Linked DNA regions of Drosophila melanogaster. The protein of the gene in region 3 interacts with the protein of the main gene of each other region in a pairwise test. Each region holds a gene or a part of one and is shown on either strand. Other genes may lie near its edges.

Region 1 (8,535 bases), about 13 Mb from region 3:
CGCTTTGGCTTTCGGCTAGTTTCGACCCACCGAGAAGCCAGACCCCAAACAGCCGCAGAAACTCGAAAATAGAAGGAAGTCCTCTCAAGTTACGAGCACGTCGAGAAAAATCTGACTTAGGCATGGAAAAATACTAGAATATGATATGATACAGTAAAAACTACCTATTTTGTGATTTTATAGGTAATTTAGAAGATTAGGAATGATGAATGTATGTTGAATGAATTAGTGTATTAGACTTTACTAAAATATATTTATAATAAGATGGTACAGCCGGAATTAGGAACACCCATATTTCATCCCATTTTCTGGCACAAGATGAAGGCAAATAAAAGGACAAAAGAAATTACCTCAATTACTGGGGCTAATTTGTGCCATGAAGAATCAAAACAAAAGCTTGTAGCTATTTGCTCGGCTAATTACGCAAATCAAGAGCTCGTCGCGGTTAATGAAATAAGTACTGAATAAATTTGCCCACGGCAAACCGCGGACAGCTAGGTATTCATTTCCACGACCATTTGCATTGGTGTCATGCTGCGGCGGAAGCGGACGGCCATGTTTTTAGAAGTGGGTGCGGTGCTTCGGGTCACTCCTGCTCCCATTTTGGACCCTCGTAGACCTCCAATCAGCCCCGGGCTGTCAAATGGGGAGGATATTTAGGGGGGGTTGATGCATTTGTTATTTAGCTTTTAATGAATTGTTTGCGGTTCTCGCTTTGGGCTCCTTTCGCCCCGGCTCACCCATCATAATTCCGCGACTTGGGATCCCTTTGTCCTTGGCATCATAGAGCATGAAGGCATAGAATGGGCTGTGCAATTGAGTTGTTTAACATGGCGTCGAACATCGGTTTCTGGTTGGCTATGAGTTTCGGCTTTGATGTCCCCGAGCCATCCGTGGGGCTTTCTTTGTGTCGAGATCCAAGCGAAAGTTCAAAGTGATGTGAACCGTGTGGCTGGGGTTAAGTTAAGCAACGAGTGGAGTATTAACCAATTCAAATGTTATTACCCGCACTTTTCATACGATTGTCGCATTAGCGAAATTGATTTAAATAAATCTATTTAAATTTGTGTGGCCAACCGATCTGTGAGCCCTAAAACCGCTTAGGAATCGCTCATGCATGAAAGATTTGCACACGCTAATTGGTCCATCCCGTGCGGGATCGCCCCTTCCGAAATTCCGTACTCCCCTTCCGATACCAGGAATTTATGTTACATTGTTGACATTTAACGGTACGGGTTTTCGAGCAGTTTTCGAGGGGTTCTCGAACGGTTTTCGAGGCATACTCGACCTGGCCGCAAAAGTAGGCAAAATATTAAACACTCGAATGGGCAGCGAAGTTTGCTTTTGTCATTAAACGGGATTATTAGCAATAGTCTAGTGCCTGGGGAGCGGCTTAGGCTATGTCCCACTGATCTGAGGCGACTAAACAAAGTAACCGAAAATGGTGACATTTGTGAAGAGCATGATATTGGTTTTTTGCTATTATTTCATCTTTTGTCGATTTGCCACCATGGGAAGCCCCGCCAAATGACACGTGACCGGCGAATCCGAGAGGTTGGGGTGAAGTCAAGCCGCAGACTCAGATTGGATGCATCCGATGGTCTGCAGAATATGTTTTGATTAAATTGCGACCATAGAAGTTCCCACCACAACATCGCGATAAGGAATCAAAGGCATTTCACCACTAAACACTAATCCCCTCAGCGCCGAAAATCAGTTGCAGATGAAGAGATATGTTATGGGATTGGTTAGGTCCTCAATTGCCATTGCGATTGCAATTGGATTGTAATTACTCTATGTATACCTTACTCTGTATGTGTATGTGTGTGTGTAATTATAATGTCATCGTCTGCTTTTTGCGTCATCCTGGGAGAAAAGGACAATGCAGGAGCACCCTTTCCGTTCGCCGTTGCCCATTGTTTCCAGTCCACTCACAAGCATATCGGGTTACACCTCTTCAATGGTTTTTTCCTGCTATCTGGCTGCGCAACTTTTTCGAATCCCCCGCTCGCTCGCCCAACTGAATCGTAATTAAGTACAGGCTGCAGAGAAAGCCCAGCGACTAATTAAAAACGTAAGCGCAACTGTCAAAATAAGCCGAGCTCCGCCGGGAGAAAGTCGGCTCAAACTATTAAACGATCACTCAGCAATGTTGCTGTGCTCATACTCGTATTCATATCCCCCCGGCATTAATCATTCTGGCCGATGATGATCAACTGATAAGCCAGTCACATAGGCAGCCACACGTCAGCTGGGCTAGCGCCAAACAGCAGGAGGCGACACTTTGTCCAGGACGAGGTCCTTAATTGGGGTAACCACGCACGGGCCACAGTCCAGTTGACTGGGACAGTAGCGACCCTCGGCCACAGAACCTGCCCACCAGCCCGACTTTCCTTATCGAGACGATCAGCGACGCGGGCACGCGTAAATGAAATGAAAATGATCGTTATTAAAAAGTTCGAGGACTAAAACGTCTGGGGGAGTCCCCCTCCCATTCTCTCGTAAAATAAAAGTGCAACTTATAAATTCTCTTGGTTGTTTTTTTTTTTTTTTAATTCAACACATGCGTTAATCGAGCTGCCTGGAAATTCGATCGCTGACTCAAAAAGCCGGCTAAGTGGGGTTAATATGCCAGCGTTTATGATATGAATGAAATGAATAAAAAACGCATTTGCACTGAGACAAATTTAAATTGAATCAATGGAATATGTTGCAAGAGAAATAAGCTCTTTAATGAATAGTACCTAAATAAATATAGATTTATGTAGGTGTACATTTTTCGAGTGCTATTTTTCACAATTAAATTTTACAAAATCCGTTAATATTAGCTCGGACTTGTTTATTTCCAGTGCACATTGTGTATCAATAAGTTGCATTCGCACAACAAACAGCTGTAGAAACGTACCAGTTTTTGTGGGTCAGCTTGGAGGGACTGAGGGTTCATTCATTCGAAAGGACCACGTTTTGCATACGATACTGGAGCATTGTCAGTCCGTCAATCAGCCGGACAGTCGGTTACATTCATTCCCGAAGCGGTGCATTAAATTTCATCTAACAAATGTTATGTAACTCGATAGTCTGGCCAAATTGCAGGGCAAAAATGGTTTAGACCTTTTCTGCATATATTCGAGGTCAGCTAGCGTCCAGTGCAACTAAAAACGGTTCCATTGGATTTGCTTTATCTGTCTGGCATCTGGAATTTGGAATCGTTAGATTCTCGGAGCACAATGGCATGGTACTTTAGCCATTTGCATCTTCACCCACTTAATGTCTCGTGTAACGTTTGCCCAACAATTTTCGGTCTTATCGACCATCTCCCGGCTACCATCTCAGTCCGTCTCCATCCCATTTCTCCTCTTTGTGCACTTCCTGCGAAGAGATTTGTGTCACCTTGCCTTGTCTTCCCCTAGGACGATTATACAAAATTGGCCCAACCCGAGGGCGAACAAGTGGAATGGCAGCCTCTTTGGGTTTTGGGCTCATTGAGGCAAGGCTTGACTTTTTGGTTTCAGTTCGCCGGCGAACGTCCTAATCTGGGTCGCCTACACTGAGCAATAAATGGGTATGGTACTTAAGACGAGTGATTTTTATTATTACAAAAAAAGGTATTCAATGGGAAATCCTTGGGCATATGAAATTATACTCATTTAATTTCAGTAATTATAGGGTTAAAATTTGAATGAAATTTTAGTTCGAGTTTGTATTTTTTTAAAATATCTTGCGGATCAAAATTAGGCGGAATAGCTGAATATCGTCAGAAGTAACTAATTATATATGACAGATGGATGGACTAAATTTTTGCAGATTAAATTGTTAAAATGAATTGAAGTAAAATGTTGACACTAAGATTTTTAAATTTGGCGACTTCATATTTACAAGATTAATCACATTTGAAATGGGAGGGCTATTTTTGACTAGAGCAAGTCTGGAATGTTTTTTAATTACCTGGACAACATGGCCGCATCCTGTGGACCGCCGGCTCCTGGTTGCGGCAACTGCGGGATCGGAGTGATAAGTCCGGCGGCGCCGTTCTTCTTGGCCGGCTCACTGCGACTCAGGATGCTGGAGATGGAGAAGCTGGTGAATCCGTTGGAGCCGGTGGTGCTCTTGCCGCCGCCGCCCCCGCTGCTCCCGTTGCTGTCGTTGCTGTTGTTGCTCAGGTTGGCCGCTGCCACCGCTGCTGCTGCCGCCGCTGCGGCCGCCGAGGCGCAAGTGTTGTTGTGATTGAGGGCCTTACTGTTGTTGTTGTTCAGACTGTGTCCTTGCACCTCATCGCCGCCATTCCGCTCCGGACTCTTCATTGGCGGACTAAGGCGCTCGACATGCGACTGCTGGTGTTGCTGCTGCACCTGCAACTGTTGCTGCTGCTGCTGGCCGGTGGGCGTGAGTGCGTGCTGCAGCAGGGCGGGATGTGTGGCCCCGTGGGCGGGATGCAAGTGGCCAAAGGTGTGGAGCGCGTGATGCAGCGCCACCGGATGGCTGCCCAGGCTGCTCAGATGGTGCTGCAGATGATGGTGCAACACCGCCGGCGGCACAGCGCCTCCGCTGGGACTGTGATGGAAGTGATTGCCGCCCGAGGCGGACGTTGTGGGCGTGCCGGCGGCCGTGTTGGGCGTATTGGAGCGATGGGTAGGCGTGGCCGGGGGCGAACTGCCGTCGGCGGAACGGGCCGGCGAGCGGGCCAGCAGCGGACTGTCGCGGGCAGCGGCGCCCAAAGGACTCGGCTCCGGACTGGACACCACACTGATGTCAACTTCGGCCTCGGAGGAAGACATAGCTTGAGATTTTTGCTTAGATTTGCAGTTTAAACGTTTAATTCAGCACTTTTGTTCTTCAACTTGCACTTGTGTGTGTGTTTTTTTTTTTTTGTTTTATATATATTTGTTAGGAAAATAAAGAATTTTCCAAACCTTGTACACTTCAGTCGTGCCACGAAAAACTCGTTAAGGGAAAACGCCGAGCGCTACCGTTGGGAGAAACACGTCTGCACCGTTTGATCAACGTTTCGCATTTGAATTTAAATGCGGCTGTTAACAGACGCAGTCCTGAGTTCTGTGTTCTGAGTCCTTCGTCCTTTCTGTCTCTGTATGTATGCGAGTGCTTGTGTGTGTCTGCGTGTGTGTGTGTGCTTGTGTTTGTGTGTGGCAAAGCGATCGTTTAGTGTTTTTATTGTTTCAGTCTCTGGATTTTTAACCCCCGGTCTCGTGTCCGGAGAGCGTGGAACTGAAACTGAGACTGAGGTGGTTGGCTGGCAGCCCTGCAAATTCTTTTGGTCTTTGCGCTAAATGGTTTTCCGCACTCACACACACACTTGCGTATTTGCTACCCCTCCTGGGAGGGTGTGTCCCACTCTCTCTCTATCGCTCTCGCTGTCCCTCTCTTTCACCGCCTGGTGGCCCACCCCTTCTGCCGCTCTTTTTCATTCCATTTGCAGTTCGGAATTTCTTTTCGTTTATTTCGACAATTGCACTGCAACCGCATCGACAGACACTTTTCGCATTTTCCTCCTTTACTATTTTTTCTCTGCGGTGCTGGTGGAGTGCGCTTTGGTTTTCCTACCCCCCGAATGGGAAACACTTGGCATTTGGAACGCGTCTAAAGTGGGGGCGCACTCGGCTCGACTCGAATCGCTTCGCTCGGCTGGTGTCTATTGAAATGCCAATATAAAATCAATCAATTGCCACCTAACAGGGGTCAAGTGTTGCTCTGTGGCGCCATTGAAATTTCCCAGCCAGCCAGATGCAAACTTTTTCGACCAGAAAAGTGTGTGCCGAAAATGCACCAGTCGATTGCAACCTTGCGGTTAGCAGATTGAGCGGTGAAAGTTTCAACAAATGGGGTTCGGTGATATAGATAAATCATTGAATTGCTAAAATATCGAAAGAAATAAACAAGCAACTTATAAATTATGCAAAGAAAAGTAAAAGAGGTTTTGTGGGTGTTATCAAATGTATAAAATATCAAATGTATTTATTATGTTTGATAACGAAATGGTGAAGAACAACGTTAATCAAAAACGATATTATCAAAAATACGAGGATAGAAGGTATCCTTAAGAAATTAAGTGAAAGATTTTCAACAATTATATTTAAATAATTAAAAATATGTAAGCAATTTCCCAACGTATTAAGTTATATTTAGTATCGTTCATGTCATTGTAATGCATTCCCGTTTCTTCTTTTATTTGGAATCTCTGAGCTTTCTACCTTATAGCATGTTTCATTCCACAGCGTTCCGTTCCCCAAAGAGAAAACCTCCCCCAAAAAGCGAACAGGCGGCCATTTTTGCGAAGGAGCTCTGCAAACTTTGCAGAAAAAGAGCGGGTGAGAGCAAGAAAAAGTTAGAGAGAGAGAGAATGAGAGAGAGGGCAAATTGAATTTTTAAATGCTTTCGCTTTTTATGAGACAACCACGAGGCATTCAAAGAGTGTTGCAAACGATTTGCTCAAAACAAAACAAACATTATGCGAGTCAATTACCCGTCGAAAGAGAGAGACGGCGAGACCGGAGAGAGCACTCTCTTTGGGGGCGTGGCCAGTGGAGGGCCAATGGGGTGACAGCTCCTCGAAATGTCGGAGAACGCTTTTCAGCGACGGGAAAAGCGAGCATAAAAAACACAACCAAACAAATGGGTAACAAACATTTGCAGCTCAGACAGCGACGCCGAAATATGCGTAGAAATTCATGCGCAATTACATTTATCCTGTTTAGAAGATTGCTTTTGCCAAAGTGCGTCTCCACGTGCTGAGGGCAAGGCGCCACCCTTGCACCCGCCCAGCACCCCCATCTGCCACCCACCACCTCCCATTTCCCCTTGGAGGAGCTGTGCATGTGTGTGTGTGTGTGTGTTGACGGAGCCATCACCTGCGTCCGTAACACATTTTTCCGTAATTTCCCTCTGTGCATTGCTTGTTTTTGATTCGTTTTCGTGTAAGACTTTAGAGTGGGATTGGGGGTGTATAAAAAATAAATCCAATGGGGGACGGGGCTTTTCCGGGAAACAATGGAGTGGGGAATTGGAAGAATTCCGGCCACCTCGACGGTTTCAGAAATAGTGACACTTAGGTGGTGCCCCATTTCCATTTCAATCTCAATTCACAAATGGAAATTGCGTTCACTCAGCACCTTCAGATGATTTCATTTGTGTTTCGCTCTGTTCTCGAGGAAATTTCAACTCGGATTTGATTGCGCTCATTTGGGAAAATTGGAAATGCCATCAAAGAGGTTAACTAAAGGTTACACTGAAAAGTAAAGATCTTAAGGCTTTTAAGGATCACTTAAAAATATTATATATTTTAAAAAGTCTGTTGTACATTATATCGAATTAGAAGAATTAAGAGAAATGTGGTAGCTTAAGTAAAACTGAAAGAAAAAAACAGGCACATTATTATAGGAATCTGTGATAATTCAAATACATACCGTAGGAGATCCTTTTGCCTGTGCAGTTTAAAGGATGGACTGAGAAGGAAACTCCCATTAATCTCAATGCCTGACCGCTGGCCAAGGCAAGCCACAAAAATTTGGAAAAGCTCCTTTGCTTGGGAACATTTAAAAGAAATAACAAACTGTTCAACTGTCGGACAAAACGATTTCTACAACAAATTGCACTGCAATAAAAGAGCTAAAGCTGCAATGGAAAGAGATGGACACAGGGGTAGAAAGAGAGAGAGAGAGAGAGAGAGAAGGAGAAAGACAGGAGCCTCTGGCACACACTGCCTGTTTGTGTGTGTGAGCGAAAGGAGATGACATGAGAGGGTGGCTGAGAAGGAGGTCTAATTGACGTACGAGCAAAGTGGGAGTTGCAATTTTCATTGACTCCACTTTAGGATGCACACACACATAGAAACACACACACACACAGACAGACAGACACTCAGCAAAGTTTGCAATGCGAAAGAGAGGGGAATAGGGGCAGTGATAGAGAGGGCAAGCAAGCTGGGCTTAGCTTGCTCGACTTAACTGCAATTAATTTGGCAATTGAAGGTAGTCGAACAAAAACTAACATTATTCCTGCTAAATACCCGAGACACACTCCATTTCAATTTCGGAATTTTCCGAATTTCGATTTTCCAACTCACACACACAAACACATTAGGCAAATGGAGAAGGCTCTTGTCCATCCGTCTGTTGTAGAATTTTGTATAATAGGCAGAAAGCATGGTAAAACAATAAACGTGCAGAACGTGAAATGGAATGGTTAAAAGCAAATGGAGTTGTAGTTCCCGTCCGTGGGCAGAAGCCTCCATAAATATGGATCCTGGCATAGCAAAGTTGGGCTGACCAGACCACCCATCACATCATTATCATCGTTTCGGCTATTTGCGGCTATTAGTCAGCCAAATTTGTGTGACGCGCTTTCCTTCGCTTTTGGGGGCTTGGCTTTTGTCTTCTTTCAGAATGCAAACAATGGCGGGAATGAATGTATAAAGGACCACACGCAAACCCCTCCAAACCCATCGATCCACCCTCGCACACCCCCAATTTCCACCGAAAAGCAACCCATCCAACCCCACAGTGCTCGTAAATAACGCTTTAG
Region 2 (8,544 bases), on a different chromosome or scaffold from region 3:
ACCACCACCAATCATGCAAAATCCGAAAAAAAAAAACTGAAGAAGAAAATGCAACCGAAAACAGATCCCCCAGCAAGAAGAAGTCCAAAAGAACATAAACAATTGAAACTGATTAAATTAATTTGATAACAAGTCCGGACCGACTGACAGAGGAGCATTGAAGCACTTTAGATATGACTGAGGAAATTCACTTTTTCACTGAGGGGGTGAAAATCGAGTTGATATGTGAAAGCACTTTGGGGAATTTGTGGCGCTGCTGAATTGGAATGTGAAATATGATTTTAATTTAAATAAATTTAGTTTAATTGAAAGCTGGATAAATGGGCTGCTTCAAAGCAATTACAGATAGTTTAATTCGGTTTCGCTCTTTTTATTTTGGCCTTTTTTTGGGTTCAGTTCCATGCTACAAATTATAAAGATTGACAGGGAAGTGAGCACTTGGGTATATTAAGTATTATTCATCAAAAACTTGTATTTACAATACAAAAAGTATTGTATTTTATTGAACTTTTTAAATATATATTACCCATATTATATAGGCTATGAATCTAATATTATGCGTAAGGGCTTCTCTCATAATATACGAAATATGTAGAAATAAATCAAATATAATTATTACATTTTATGGCTATTGGCGACGAGATGCAGCTTGCATCGTAAATTGCAGTAAAGCATGTAAGATTATAAAGGGTTATTTGTGGAATCCGATTACATTTAAACAGAAAATTGCTCTGCAGGCACCATAAAACATTCAAAGCCTCCATTTATTGTAAACTCCCCATAAGCTGTTAGTTTATGTTTACTGCACTTTTTTTTGGTTCGAAAACTTTAACATTTTGACTGGAAAATCTGCATTTGTGCACATGTGTGTGTATGTGGGTGCGAATGCATGATGAACAACAAGTTGCTCATGATAATTTGCTATAATTGTCACCCTGAACAATAATCAAGCAAACACAACATCCGCAAATGATTTAGTGATTTAATTAAGCGCAGTGGTGGCTTAAATTACGTAGGCGTTGCCGCCTAACCATAACCGATTTTTTGTTAATGATGCATAGTAATATTGTGCAACACACGGGGATGAAGTGATGGCCAGAAGGGGCACAATGACTAGCCATAATCGAGGGGTGGGGGATGGAAGTGCACGCAGAAAAACTAATCTAGAACTTAAATTTTGTGCTCTCATGCATAAGATAATTATACGTATCATTAGCACAGAAAGTACAAGACATTTCTAAGTATACCATAATCAATTCGATATTTAATTACTATTTTGCTATATTTGTTCATATTCAAATATATTTTTATATCCTTTTTCCTATATGATTTATATAATTTCGAATGAAAGCATAAAATTCCTCCCGACCAGCGAAAAGTTGCACATACTGTTGGCACAGAAGTTGCTGCAGTTGCTGCTGTTGCATCGATTGATGTTGCTGTTGCTGCAGCATCTGATGTCGTCGTCCTTGTCACTGTTGCATCGACATTTCTGCCGCCTGTCTCTGTCCGCGTTGTTCATTTGCCAATTACGCGTTTAACTCTGCATGAAGCCAGACATAACAACCTGGCAACTGAATGGATCGCTACACGCAGCGAAAATTCCAAAAGTAGCAAAAGAGTATCAAAAACTCTCTAGATAAAAGTATCATTGTGTACTCGTTGCACTCAAGAGTGATTTTAAATCACAAACATAATAAGTAAGTACAAGTGTAATTGATGTACTGAGTAAATGTTTTTCGCCGTGTAGACAGGAGACAGGTGGCAGGGGCAACCGCTTGTTTGTGTTGGCGTGGCAAGTTGGCAACACATGCCGCACGCTCGGGCAGATCTAATGCCTTCGCTTCCAACTGCAGCATTAATTATTCCGAGGGTGAAATATTTTTGGCCACGCACGCCAGAGATTTCACTACAACTTCTGGGCCAAATCCTGGGATGCAGATGATGGCGATGATGCTGCTGCGCCCTAATTGAGTTCACATTACTTGCCGAAATATGTTGCGTTTGGGGGCAAATGCTCTTGCTTTTATTAGCCAAACGTGAGTTGGCAACAATCGCCATTGTTCGCCGGCAAATCATGTTCATTTCGAGATGATGAATCCTTCGACCCGCGCCAGTTGAAAGTGTCAAACCATTTAGAGAGTTGGGATGGGGTTGAGATTAGCAAGTGTTGATAGACAGACCCGAAACGTGACTGGCAACATCCATGGGTTACATGGATTAGGGAGGGATCTGCTCAGACAGCTGGCAGGGCTACAAAGTTGGGCAAAGTTAAAAGCCCCATTGAGCCAAGTGTGTGGCGGGGGAAAAGTTTTCCGAATGTTATAGGATGTTATAGGTTCTGGCTATATGAATTTAATTGCTTTCCTTGCCATTAACAGTGGGGTGCCACAAAGCCTGGGAGATCAGTGTCCTAAGATGGAATAATGGTAGTTCCCTTTAGATAACGTGTTACCCTTGACTATCCACACCCAACGCCGACAACTTTGGTCACTCATTGCAACCGCAAAATCCATCAACTGCACCGACTTTACATATCCGCTCATTTCGCTAACGAGCTGGGCCACAGAGCCACCGAACCAAGAAGACCCTCGCCACCGCCGCCCGGCTTGATCCACACCTGACATGGTTTGCATAGCATAGAGCACAGCAATTTGGGGCGCACTTCTGGATGGAGAAGTGGGTGGGCCATGGGATGGAACATGTGTGCTATGGGTATGTGTTCGGGTATGGATGTTAGCCTAACGAACAGTGAATGCCATGCCGCAGCTGCATGCAAGTGCATGGAGCTCTTCTTTGGGCGATTCTCCTTCACTCTGCTCCTGGGTTGACAATTTAATTGATGTGCACTCACACAAAGGCTTTTGAAGCGACCGCTAAAAAAATAAAGTGAAATAAAATAAAATAGAGTGACACCTAGCCAGGCGTTGCGAACACACACACAGTGAAGTCTCGGAAAGTAGGTCAGGCATGCAACCCGCTGTCAGCGCTGAATAATTGGAGAGGGTATCGCCACCCAATCCCGAAAGCCCAAAACCAAAAACCAAAAACCCTCTGGGGAAAGTGCAATTGGAGGAGTCGGGAATCGGGCGAAAAATGAATAGCGGCCACCGCTTAATGGGTTTTAATGCTGATTTCGTTTGACACTCGGCTGACACAACTAATAAATTTTCCGCTGCCATGTCAAGTGGAAAGCCTCAACTGGCCATCCATCCCATAGCAAACCATCCCACCCACTTGCCGTATCGCCTTTGATTGATTGTCTGCTGGCGCTTTCAACTGATTGCGAGGTGTGTAGTGGAGCAGCCAGGACTCGGGGGCCAGAACTGCAATCAAACATGAATTACGACGAGTGGCAGACGCTGATAAGCGGCTAGATAAGCGCCTGATTAGCAGCCCGGCACTGCAGTTCAAATATTTACCCAGTTATTCACAAGTGACGCGATGCAATCTGCGTACCTACATACTCCGCACTCCGCACTCCGAAACTCCTGACGCCCATCAATCAGCCGGAGGCACAAACACGCGAGTGTTGTAAATTTTACAACATAATTTTTGATAATTTTTCCCTATCAGCTATACAGCTCCCTGCGCCCCCGATCCACAGAACACACTGCCTACAAAACAAACACTTTGCATGTGTTTTATGATGCCACATGGATGTGGCACAACTTGGGCCGCTTCACCCTTTCCTTTTGGCCCATGGATTGAGGCTACTGATTTATTTTTTATATTCACTGGGTTGTAAATTCTTTGTCTGGGCCCTGTGACACATTGTAAAACAATTTTCCCCACTTTTATTAGCTTGGCAATCTCTTCGACAGGATTTGTGTGTGTTTCTTTCTGGCGGGGAATGGCTTGGGTCCAAGAAGACGAGGTTGGGGATGGGGATCGGGGCGAGGTATAAATATAAAAGTAGATTAAAGGTACTTGGGCTGCGGACTCGAGCTATCCCAAGCCGATTTGCTTGGCCAAGTGGAAACCTGGTTATTAGATGGAGATAAACAAATCTGTTTTGATAAGGGCTAAGAATCAGTCACTCGGATTTTTAAGCTTATTAGAGTAGTATTCTTCTATGGAAAATAGTTAGGCTAAATAAATAATATAAACTAAACTAAACTAAATATTTAAATACTCATTTTGGTGTCATTTTTTGACTACATGATTTTACTATTTATTTTCTTTTGAAGACGTTTATAAAATATATCTAAAATTGTTTTGTATTGTTTTAAATTGGATAAACTATGAAAAAATATGATTTTTTAAATAAAAACTTTGATTATAGAGGGATTACTTATCTAGAGATGAATCCACTTGCCAATCGAATTTAATTTAACGCAAAGAAATACAAATTTAAATCGCTTTAGCATTTCTATTTATCTAGATAAGTCTAACGAACAATTAAATCAAAGAAACAGGAAATCATGCTAGACAAATAGAATGTTTTCTTGTTTCTCGGTGAGCTGGCCAATTGAAGGAGGGACAATACTACTTTATATGTAGCTCCGAGGCTAGAAACAATTAAAAGGCATATATTATTTACGCAAAAAGAGTAAATAATCCCAGCAAGTCGCATTCGTTTGCCCAGGAGACAAAATCCCGGCTTGGCATAAATCAAATTTGATTTAAAGTCGAACGAACGCACACAAAGTGGCAAATAATTGCCCAGTTAATTGAAAAGCCAAAAGGCAGGCGAAAATCAACACGATTACTTACCGATTAGGCGCAGCACCTCGTGCAAGTTGAGGAAAATATTGAGATGGGCCTGACCGCTGGCGATCAGGGTCAAAAGTAATCCGATTGTTAGCAAGTTGGGGGCCATCTTTCGGATTCGATTAATCCGCCGGTTGTTTAGTCGCAATAAGAGGAAGAGATAGTTTTAACTGCAGTTCGGCTACTCTGCCGATTTTCTATTTCCCGTTTGGCACTCGCTAAAACGATTTAATTTCCGCTGCACTGCTGTTCACTTTTTGCGCTGCATTTGCAATTTTACGAGCGTCGCGTTGATTTCAATCGCGCTGATTATTACAGGAATTATTTGTCAGAGCATTTGGCACTTTGCCTTCTGGCCGGGAAAACTCAGGCGCACATATTTCCCAATCAGTCTCTGTCTCTGCACCCGTTTTTCCTCGCTTTTCTCGCCGTTCGTCCGCGTTCGTTTTCCGCGTTTGATCCGCTCACCGTGACGATTTTCCACAAACTGTCAACTGGATAAACAAACACTTCGCCACGAAGCGAATGGCTTCCACGCCGAGCGGAGTGGAGTGTGGACTGTGGACTGTGTGTGGCGCTCGTGGACTTGTTCTGTAGAACTTGAAGGCTGGAACCCGTATAACAGTCGTGTTGGAACCTCGAACTCGGTTGCAGTTCGAACATCTCATCGAACATCTCCAATTGGCTAAATACCAAAACTGGCATACTGTTCGATATCCTTTATTAAATTAACTAAACAAACATTCATATAAAGTTTAAAAAATAGACCCACAAACTTCCCAAATGAATTCGAATTAATGATGTAATATAATGATTTTAACCTTTTAACTTTTTTTTATTGTGTTTGATTCAATTTCGAATTAAACTCATGTTGCCAAAAATAAACATTACGACATTTTATACTTTATAAATCGTTAGTTTATTACAGAAAGAGAGACAGAAGCTTGCAGAAGCATAAAATAAATAAGTACAGAATATATAAATACGTACATGATTTTAGGTACATCAATTAACAACATAAATAATTTATAATTACAGACTTGGAATGTGTATCAGTCGTTACACAAATAATAGGAACAGAAAATTAATACTAAAAGCACACAGAAGAACCCTAACAAAAATCAAAGCTGCACGAGAAGAATCTTAACTAATACATTTGACAAATCAAATCTTTGGAATATTTGCAAACTGGCCTTGGCTAAGTACTTGATAATTTGACACAATACTTCATTAGTTACTCTTAACATTAAATTCAAGCCTCCAGTTTCAGCTGATCGATGGAGCTTAGAGTAGTTTCAATAAGCAGATTGTAGTCCAATTCGTTTAGACTGGCCTTCGCAGTCAGCAGGTCCAGAAAGGAGTCCAGTGGCGAAAGGGCTTCGGCAGTTAGATCTGCAAGAATACCAACCAAATTGGTCATTAGAGAGGTGGCTATGGTTAAGTTAGATAACAAGAAACAAAATGTGCAAATGGGACAACGACTGGCGAACACTGAACAGCGTTTCTTACCGGTCAGCGATGGGAATGTTTTCTACCAGATGAGAGGGCGCTGCCTGAACGCATAGCTCGATATGCTCAGGACGACCGTGGTTAGAATGAAAAGCAGAAAAACCAAAAGCAGCGAGTGACAAACAACAGTGTTGGGCTTGCCCAAAGCTGGACGAGATGTGTTCGGGTGAAGAGTGTACAAATGAAAAGTTAACGTGTTTATGGCGGGCTAACCAAGCAAGATCTTACCGCTCCGCGCATTATTTCGCGATTGATTCACGCAGGCCGTGGGTCGCTGCTGGTGCAACACCTCCTGCTGCTGACCCGACAGAATGTTGGCCGCATGCTCGCGTCCGCGGATCATAAGGCTGTCCGGATGCTGCCAGCATTTGAGTAACCTTTGAGCACGCTGCTTGGGCAGAGCAGACAAAAGTGATAGCTTCCGCTCAATGCCCAGTGGAGAATCTTCAATATCTGAAGGAATACATTAAGCAATAATGAAATGAACAGTATATGAAAACAAGTATATATATTTGTTACAAACCGAAAACAATGGCCTTCATCACATCCACTTGCAGTTCGAACACATGATTTTCCACATACTGCAGAAACATATCATAGCCCAGCGCACGATAGCCCAAGTAGGTGAAGAACGAGGAGAAACCCTCGGGCAGGGGAAACGCAATCGATTCCACAGCCAGGCAATAGCGCTCGAGGATTAGAAACAGAGAGTGCTGTTGATTGGCAGCCATTTGGTCACTGCAATCATTACAGACGTGAGTGAAAAGTGATCACATTTGAAATCATCACCAACTCACATCAACTGAAAACCCCTCGAGGTCTCCATGCGCGCATCTAGGCCTGCAGCACGACAAACCAGAGAGCAAAGAGCCCGCGAGAGTTCAAGCTGCGCGGAAACGAACTGGGAGGCCACCGCATGCACATGAGCTGGAGCCTGGGAGCGCTCGAAAAAGGTCTCCTTCAGCCAGCGGAAGCCAGTGTTGGGCTTTGACGTGTGCTTCACCAGGTGAACGCTCAGCTCGCGCAGATACTGTAAATTTCGTAGCTTTAATAAAAATGTTACCTCAAGATTACGCAGCAACTCACCACAGAAATGACGTGCTCCTGCTTGCTGGCTGTGCATCCCTCCAGTTCGATAAAGGGCAGCACTTCGTTGCTGAATGGAAAAGCACTTCCGCTACTATAGTCACCAAATCCACCGGTGCCCGTGTCTGGCGAAAGTGGCGTGGTGCATCTGGACAGAGCCTCCGGCTGGTAGCAGGCCAAACTAAAGATCAACTTCTCCGTCACCTGCTCAGCACTGAATCTAGGCTGCTCCTGCTTGGCTGACTCGTTGAGAAGGTCCCATAAGCGAGTCCAGATGTCCGTGCGATAAGGTGAAAGGCGCTGCTGTGGCGAGAGCAGCATCATGCTGGTATTGTGCAGGGTTTCATGAGAGAGACCCACGCTTATATCGGCCACCTTTGCGTGGATTGGTCGCGAGGCTAAGGCAGTAGTCAATGGCAGTAGTCGCATCAGTGGCTTGGCATCCTCTGGTAGTCCGCGAACAGCAGCCGCATAGCTGCCAGCCACAAGAGCCTCCTTCAGCAAAGCCACCGTATCCAGGGAGAGTGGTCGCTCCAAGATATTGTTCAGCAGCTCGGCCAACACATCCATATCGTTCGAGTGCAAAAGGAAGTAGTGGATAATGCTGATTCTATTGTCCAGCGAACTGTCATTGCGGAAAGCCTCTATCAAATGGGATTTGGGCACGGACAACGAGACCAGATCCAAGGTGGCCGCATCATAAGCCAGAGCTCCCCACTTTCGCAAAGGCACCAGCTGTGTGATATCGGGACTTCGATTGTGGGCTGCACACACGATATGGCAGTTCGGTTCGTGCTGCAGTCCCACGTCCAAGAGGTGGACAAAAAAGGCGGACGACACCAGCAAGTGATGCTGGCCGTGTAGCGCAAATGTTGGCCTCAGCAGACGGGCCTTTTGCCACGGCACACCGGGCATGACGCAGTGCACCACATAGCCGTGGTGAAGCAAAGTCACCGAGTAGGCAAAGTGCACATCCCTTTGCTCCGACTGCATCGGCTGGTACAGGTAGTAGTGACAGACGAAAAACATGCCCGAGGTGTCCGCCAGTATGATGAGATTTAGCGAACTATCGTGCACGCGCAAGGGAACCGCATCGTCATCGTAGCTTGGCGATTCCTCTTTGGAGCCATTGGGCAGCTTTGGCAAATTGAGGGGTATATTAAGCTGCAATAGAAAGATGTAACTACACCTATACGTAATACTTTAATCTTTAAGTACCTACCACTGTTTCCGTTG
Region 3 (7,313 bases):
CTGGAGCCCAAGGTCACCAAGAAACCCCTGAACGACAGTCCCGAGTGGCGGCGGCCACGCCCACTGCCCCTGCCCAAAAGGATACTGAAGCAAACGTCACAGGATCAGGACCCGTACGACCATCTGGAAAGTCGAGTCCGAAGATTGCAACTAACCCGAAGTCCCGGACTGCCCAAAAAGCATGTGACCTACAACGAGGAGGCTGCCGAGTACGCCTACTACGATGATCGGGTGGATCGCGATGATCGGGAGGATCGCGAGGATCGTGAGGAGCCCACCTACGAAACTCGCTACCGTCAGCAGCCAAATATGCCGACAGGAAGTCGCCAGCAGCAGCAGCAGCAGCAACATCAACGCTCTTTTATGGAAACTAGTCGGAGCAAGCCATTAAATAATAATAATAATTATCAGGCCAACGGCAATGGTAGGAAAATCTTTCCAAAAATGCCACAGACCCAATCCGGAGTGGGTAACACACACACTATCGACGAAGATCCCCCCGTGCCCTCTGACCCTCGCAAACACCTGCGCAGCAGCCTCTGCTTCAGCGGCGACGCTTTGATGGTGGGCGGTACGGCGTCGCAGTCGCCGCCCACTGCGCAGGCGCGTCGCAGCTCAGCGGGGCAGAGAGTGAGCGTGGGTCTGCCGGACTGAGGGCTCCAGTTCGCGTGTTCAGTGATTAGTGCAGCTACACAGTGAGAAATGCAAGTGCAAAAACATATAACTGAAGCGATGAAGAAGATCATACAAGAATATCTGCTTGACAATCATTAGGATGAAATAGTATTACAAATATTTCTCTATGTAGTAAGTCGACAGCAACAATCTGCATTGCTAATTGAAAGCCAACAGCGACTGCAACAGAAGCAGCAACAACATCTGCAGCACAACAGCCACATCAGCAGCAAGTTGATGCGACAGCAGCAGCTCAACCTTTTTTTAGTTTTTACTTTTACGATCCCATACAAACTCTGAATTCACCCACATGCGAATGAATGAGTCGGCTTTTTTGTTGTTTTCGAGCGGTTGAATATACATACATAAACAAACCTTGATCTTGACTAATTTGTCGGCGATGCTGTTGTTGTGCACCACGATCATGTATTAATTTAGCTTTTAAAGCCAACGCAGAAAAATCTATAATTATAATGATAGAGATATGCTAATAAACTAATACATATATAACCAAATAAATTTCGAATCGGGAAATATTCAATTAAGCCTTAAAAACCTACTATAGGCACAGAAAAATATACATGGGCACTTAATCAATTCGTTTGGTATTCAGTTTTCAAACTAATAATGAAAGAGAGTGAAGTTCAAGTTGTTATATATTTATATCGAGGTAATCGAAAGCAGGCGCACATTGAACTTGGAAAGGCTTGCCATGAATACAACGCAGCTATTCATTGTGTGCATTGTGTGAATAGAAACTTATTCATACCTCAAGCTCACTGATGGGCCTGTAATCTGTTTGGCAATATTATGAATCGATCTAGTATGTAATTCATAGACCGTAATGTAATTCGAGGCACCCTTTCGCGCGGCTTTTCTTTATCGACTCATTTGAAATTCCCAACAATTTGCTAGTCTGGCAATCAAGTCCGTTGCTCTGGGCAGCTCACCTGGCCAGCCCATTTTGGGGCTGGGGCTGGGGCATTCGCAGGTCCCTGCCCCTAGCTCCTTTCACAAAACTTTCAGAAAGAAAGAGCCATTGAGGTGGCATTGTTAGGAGCCAGCGGAAATCCAACCAAGCTTGCAGTCAAGTTGAAGTCCAAGTGCCAGTTTAAATCGCGACTGGTGGGGTTTCCGAGCGGTTTCACAAGGAAACGGGGCATTATGCGGCGTTGCAACCAATTGTCACGCGTGTTGAACTTGAGCTTGACCTTGTCTTGGAACGGGGTGTGGAATCCAACCACCCATTGTCCAGCCAGCAAATTGCAACAAGTGCGGCAATTATCCAACATATGCCACGGGGCTGCAATCAAGGCGGCATTAGCCGGGAATTTAATTAAGGCATCGCTTTAATTGCCGACAATCTGCAGCTGCCATGGGAACCCAATTCAAAATCCAGAGACAGGATAAGCGTGCAAAATAATTGTGCAAATGAAGCGTGGTGAAATGTTACGCAACTCCCTGTCCATATCCACTGCCATTTCTCAAACCATTTCTTCGTCCATTTCCATTTCCACATCCACATCCACTTCCACCAACTCCGGGACAAGACAAACTGCTCAACCTCCGCTCATGTACGTCCATACGGCATACATCTTCCGCATTTCGATCGCGCATCCTGGCCGATAGAAAGTAGTCCAAGCGTGCCGGCAAAAAAGGCGAAAGGGGCCAAAAAGCAGCGCCAGCTGGCTAACATTTCCTGGCTCGACTTGGCCCCGACTGAACCTGAACTTCGGGCCAAATGCGGAGAGAAGAAAAGTGCAGCGTTTATTGGGTAATACTCGTGGAAACCCGTTTGCCGCAAGACTGATTTAAAAAAGTCGATAGGATAGGTGGTTCTTCTGCTTTTTAGTGGGTGGGTGGCTCGTGCCGGTCGACGTCATACACATTAAAAAATTGTTGGTGTAAAGTGAGCGATTGTAATAGTTAAATATTTAATGGAACGTAGATATATTACCATTTTCGATTATGATTGTTATGATTATTAATTAGCAATTGTAAGTTTGTTACTATCGAATAAAGGCATTCCTTTTAGTTAGCTGTATATTAACAAGTTTGAGGTCAAATTACGCTACTCAAAAAAGCCATCAATCTTTGCCTATTAACTATATTGTCGTACATTTTGCATATCTAATTTGCTTACTTTCCTATTAAGTCACATACCACAACCTAAGCCCCCTCCACAGTTACAACTTCGAAGAAGTAAATGGCCATCGTTATGTGTAATTACGGCCATAAAGAAACATTTTATTTATGCCCCCTGCCCCATCCGATAAGTTGGCGCTCTATTTCCTAGTGGAAATGCAAATAATGCCTCACTTTGCGCGCGGTAAACTCTTTTTTTTTACTCCATGTTGTTGTGAGTAGTAAGTCCATGCGTGAAGCGGAGATTTCGATCTGCTACTGACTAGCTGCTCACCTGGCAGGTTTCAATTGCGATTGCCATTGCGAAACATGTTGCAGCAGGTTCGAGGAAGCTAGCATAAAACTGTTGCGTCCGTTGGCCGAACTTTCAGTTTCGTTGGGGCCACGCTGGTGGTTAATACCATTGAAGAGAGTTTTCACAAGACGCAATCACCCCGAAAAAGCCGCCACCCAAAATGAAAGTGTGCTGGAATGTAAGCTGTTGCATCCGCAATCGTAGATTCACAATTAACATGAAATGGATACTATCTCCTTAGTTCTTTGCTGCGGCGGTGCTGTTAGTGACGGTCACCTCGGGGCTGAGACCCCCACGATCCTACTATCGGAGGAGCTACTTCAGTGCAGTGGGTTCAGGATCTGGGCACGCACCCAGCTCTCTGCCAGGACCAGTGAGAATAGGACCCGCTAGTTACTTCCGTGCCGATCTGCAAACAAATGAGAGCAAGCACCGGCCACTGAGCAAAAAGTATCCCAAGAAGAGCCACTACAGACCCTACGGATCGGTAAGTTGGCCTAACAAATAAGATATCAAATAATAGGAAAGATCTAAAAGCCCGAAATAATACAATATTCCCCTAAAATATAGCAAGAGGAAGAGGACGAACAACGCTACAATTCCGCGGAATATTCAGGAGAGTCCTCCGTTCAGGATAGTCGGGAATACACGATTGGCACCCAAATTCGCGTCCAGCATCCCATAACCGTGCCCAAGAAGTCCAGTTCCGGCTACCAGAAGCAGCCAAAATATGTGACGGCCATTCCATACAAGGCATCTGGTTATGGATCCGATATCCACAAGCCCTCCGGTTATGGATCCGATGTTCATATTGGATCTGGAGAGGATGTTGGACCTCCTCCGAAAAGATCGAAGTGGACCCCAGTGCAATACGAATCGGAAGCCGATCCCTTCCATCTAGTGCCACCTCCAAAGGCAACCGTCGCCTCCAGCAGCAACTCATATAGTGTTTATGAGCCCGAACACGATGACTACGAGGTGGTTCCAGTGCCCCGACCAAAAAGCCACGATCGCTACAAAAGCGTCGCCTCCAAGAAACAAGTAGAGGCCTACCTAGAGGATCAGCAGAAGCTGCTCGACGAGGCCATCAAAGTTCAGCTTTTGAACAATCCGAAGCTGCAAAAATTCTTCAAGGCCCAGGCGCAGGAACAGGAGCGGGAATCGCGGCCAGACCTCGAAATCGAGGATTTTGAGGCCTATCCGCCCAACTTTTCGGGGCCCGGACACCTGCGCAACAAGTACATCGAACACCCACCATCTTCTCCGCCGAAGGGATCTCGATCACGCCGGCGTCCTCCAAGTGGAGATCTTAACCGACCACCCAAGACCATCATCAAACCGAAAAGGAAATACCGATCCACAGCACTGGTCATCAATGTGTGAGAGGGATTACTAAGTCCTGACTTAATCGTTAATTAAAATATCGTTTATAAATACTTAGAGTAGTCTTGTTGTACAGAGTATTTTTAAGTAATAAAAGACCATTTATTTTAAATGCCCCTATTTAAATGACTTTATCTTGGAAGTTTGGTGTTGATATGAAAGAAAATTATGGATATATTTTGATGCATTTAATTTATAATTTACGAATTTTAACATACGAGTTATTTGGCGCTTAGGAGCAGTTAAGCATAAATAGTTGTATATTTTATAAAGTGTTTTAATATACTTTTCTGTTGTATCTATCAAGAGAACGGTGGCGGTCTCTATCGGTTTTTGAAAGAAGTATAGAGTCTCGGTTCTTGTCTCAGCTAAATGTATGGTGTCCCGGCTTTTCTACCATTTCATGAGGAGAATTCGTCACCAAAGTGAATCCGATAAGGAGTGTTGCTGGCTTATTTGCTTAAAAAAAAAAAGATTATATCACTTAACTCAATTGCAAATAACCTTTCAATTTAATGATGTTTTCAAGTTTATAATACGCCACTTTAATTAAATATATTAATTACTCATCAATTTAATTGGATTCTGTATTCGTCACACCCACATCGCCATAATTGGAGTGAGTTCCACATTTCACGACAAATTCTGGCGACGTTTACCTTTTTAAAAATAAACGCAGTCAATCATAAACGTGTGTTGTTCATAAAAATAGACGTATTAAGAACACTTTGGAAGCAACACACCCATGAGACACCTGTTTCGATCCCAGGCAAATTCTCGACTCTTACCTCTTTCGCAAATCCGAACGAAAATCCGCAATTGAGCAAGCCAATTCAATCGATTGCGATTGCCGCAAAAGTGGGTGCACAAAGGCACGCGGAGAAGAAATCATAAAAAGCAATAAGTAGCAAAAAACAAAACCGAATTGATTTTCTTAATTGACTAAACAGTTTCAACAGAAGCCAGACCCCAAAGCCAGGCAAAGCAAAAATCCAAACTCCAAGCCGGACCCTCGAGTCCACAACAAATCTGACCTTGAAAGCTAAGCTCTGAAAAGTGTTGCTAATATTGTTAATGTAATCGTTGTCGGTGGTGAAAAGGAATGCCAACCAATGGATGTGGAAAGTACAGAGGGAAAAATGCTAAAAATAAAGACAACAATAAAATGCTAGCACTAAAAATATTTAAAAAATAAGTAAAAATGGAATCATGAATAAAATATAGTCAAATTAGAATAGATTTTGAGAGATATTGAATGAAATCAATTATTTCAGCATGCCCTGAATTAATTTATTATTTCCGAAGTAAATATATAGGTATAAGTGCAATTAAATAATAGAATAGCAATCGGTGCTCGAATTAAGTTGTAAACTATAACACACATATGCTGAGAACTCAGCAGGTGAGAGGAAATAGCAAATTAGCTGGCGGCATTCTTGCGTTCGATGGTGCATAAAATATGCAAAACATTTGGATGTTATTAAGTTGCACTAACGCAACTGGAGCCTGACGGATCGCAATACCATTGGGAATTGATTTAGAGCCCCAATCCCCTAATGAACCAGTGCCACCCCCACTTGCACATGGTTTTCCGGCTTAGCCAGCACCAGCACACCAGGCTGATTTCATTTTCATCGGAATTTTGCACAATTGGCCAAGATTACTGTCAAATGAGCGAAACCCGTTTGAGGTCTTTCCTTGTTGGCCGCATAGAATCGTAACAGAAACTCGAAACTTGTTTTGCACGTACGAAAGTCGGTTGTGTAATGCCGCATTTAGTGGGCGTTCACCACCCGAGGTGTTTAGATAAATCTGCTGGAAATTAAATAAGCGGCCACTGGCCGAAAAACAAAAGACTGCAGGACACGAACTTGGTTTCCTTCATATATTGTTTTTACTCGATTATAGTACAAATTGCTCAGACGTCCCAAGGCCCAAATTAACATAGTTTCTAAATTAATTTTGATCATTTTTCAACATCATCGAAGTTTATTGACTTCTCTTTTCTTGGGAAGACTTAAATGGAAAGATTAAAGTTTAATGGGAAAGTCACAGAGAAAAAGGCCGACATTTCTTGAGTTTTTTCATATTTCAAAAATATGCAAATGATATTTTGAATATATTTTGTAATTTAAATCAGCAATACCCATTGGGCAGCAGCGATTAATTTTCTCTGTGTAGGATTATAAATTAATAACAAACAGTACGCATATAGGAAGTACGATACAATTGCTCTTAAACATATCACACGAGAGTTTGATGGAGTCAAGAAAAGAGTAGGGGTTCTAGTTGTGATAGGGAAAGTTGGAAAAGAAGAAAGAGGATCCCTACTAATGAAGAAGATGCATAATGTCTGAGTGGAGGACAGTGGGGCTTATACCTTGTTGAAGGAGTAGGTGAAGCCATCGGGCGTGCGGTTCAGGGACAGTTTGCCGGGTGGCGAAAAGCGGTGTGGGTTGGGGGTGGTGGTGGTGTAGTACGCCTGCTGGGGTTGCGGCTGCTGATACTGGGGTTGGGGCTGCTGATACTGAGGCTGGTACTGCTGCTGCGGCTGCACGGGCTGTGGGTTGTAGGCGGGCTGGGGAGCAGGACGGTACTGCGGCTGGGCAGCGGGCTGCTGGTAGCTCTGCTGGTTCTGTCCGAAAGAGGGATCGTTGTAGCGGGGATCGTAGGAACCATCATCTCCGTAGTCATTGCTGCGGAAACTGGCCTGCGGCTGGGGAGCGGGAGCCTGGTACTGCTGCGGCTGGTACTGCTGCTGTGGCTGATATCCCGCTGTGGGCACGGGCTGTGGTGGAGCAGGTGGTGCCTGGGG

What was found.
Region 1: the proteins of CG15545 (region 3) and Hmx interact in a two-hybrid assay, tested with the Drosophila melanogaster proteins (one large-scale study listed by BioGRID).
Region 2: the proteins of CG15545 (region 3) and drl interact in a two-hybrid assay, tested with the Drosophila melanogaster proteins (one large-scale study listed by BioGRID).

Annotation. Positions count from the first base shown.
Region 1 is NT_033777.3:17,555,604-17,564,138, reverse strand, and holds the start of Hmx (H6-like-homeobox), read right to left. Parts: upstream 5,210-8,535; 5' UTR 4,776-5,209; coding exon 3,946-4,775; intron 1-3,945. UniProt on the Drosophila melanogaster protein: Transcription factor involved in specification of neuronal cell types.
Region 2 is NT_033779.5:19,187,007-19,195,550, reverse strand, and holds the start of drl (derailed), read right to left. Parts: upstream 5,210-8,544; 5' UTR 4,823-5,209; coding exon 4,717-4,822; intron 1-4,716. Other genes in the region: pigeon, read right to left, coding at 5,966-6,105, 6,451-6,675, 6,746-6,960, 7,020-7,252, 7,309-8,472, 8,531-8,544. UniProt on the Drosophila melanogaster protein: Probable coreceptor of Wnt proteins. Involved in neuronal pathway recognition and ventral muscle attachment site selection. Non-vital for development. May be part of a signal transduction cascade involved in learning and possibly memory.
Region 3 is NT_033777.3:30,868,243-30,875,555, reverse strand, and holds CG15545 (uncharacterized protein), read left to right. Parts: upstream 1-3,204; 5' UTR 3,205-3,275; coding exon 3,276-3,293; intron 3,294-3,356; coding exon 3,357-3,602; intron 3,603-3,685; coding exon 3,686-4,498; 3' UTR 4,499-4,617; downstream 4,618-7,313. Other genes in the region: CG15546 (uncharacterized protein), read left to right, coding at 1-654; Cpr100A (cuticular protein 100A), read right to left, coding at 6,873-7,313.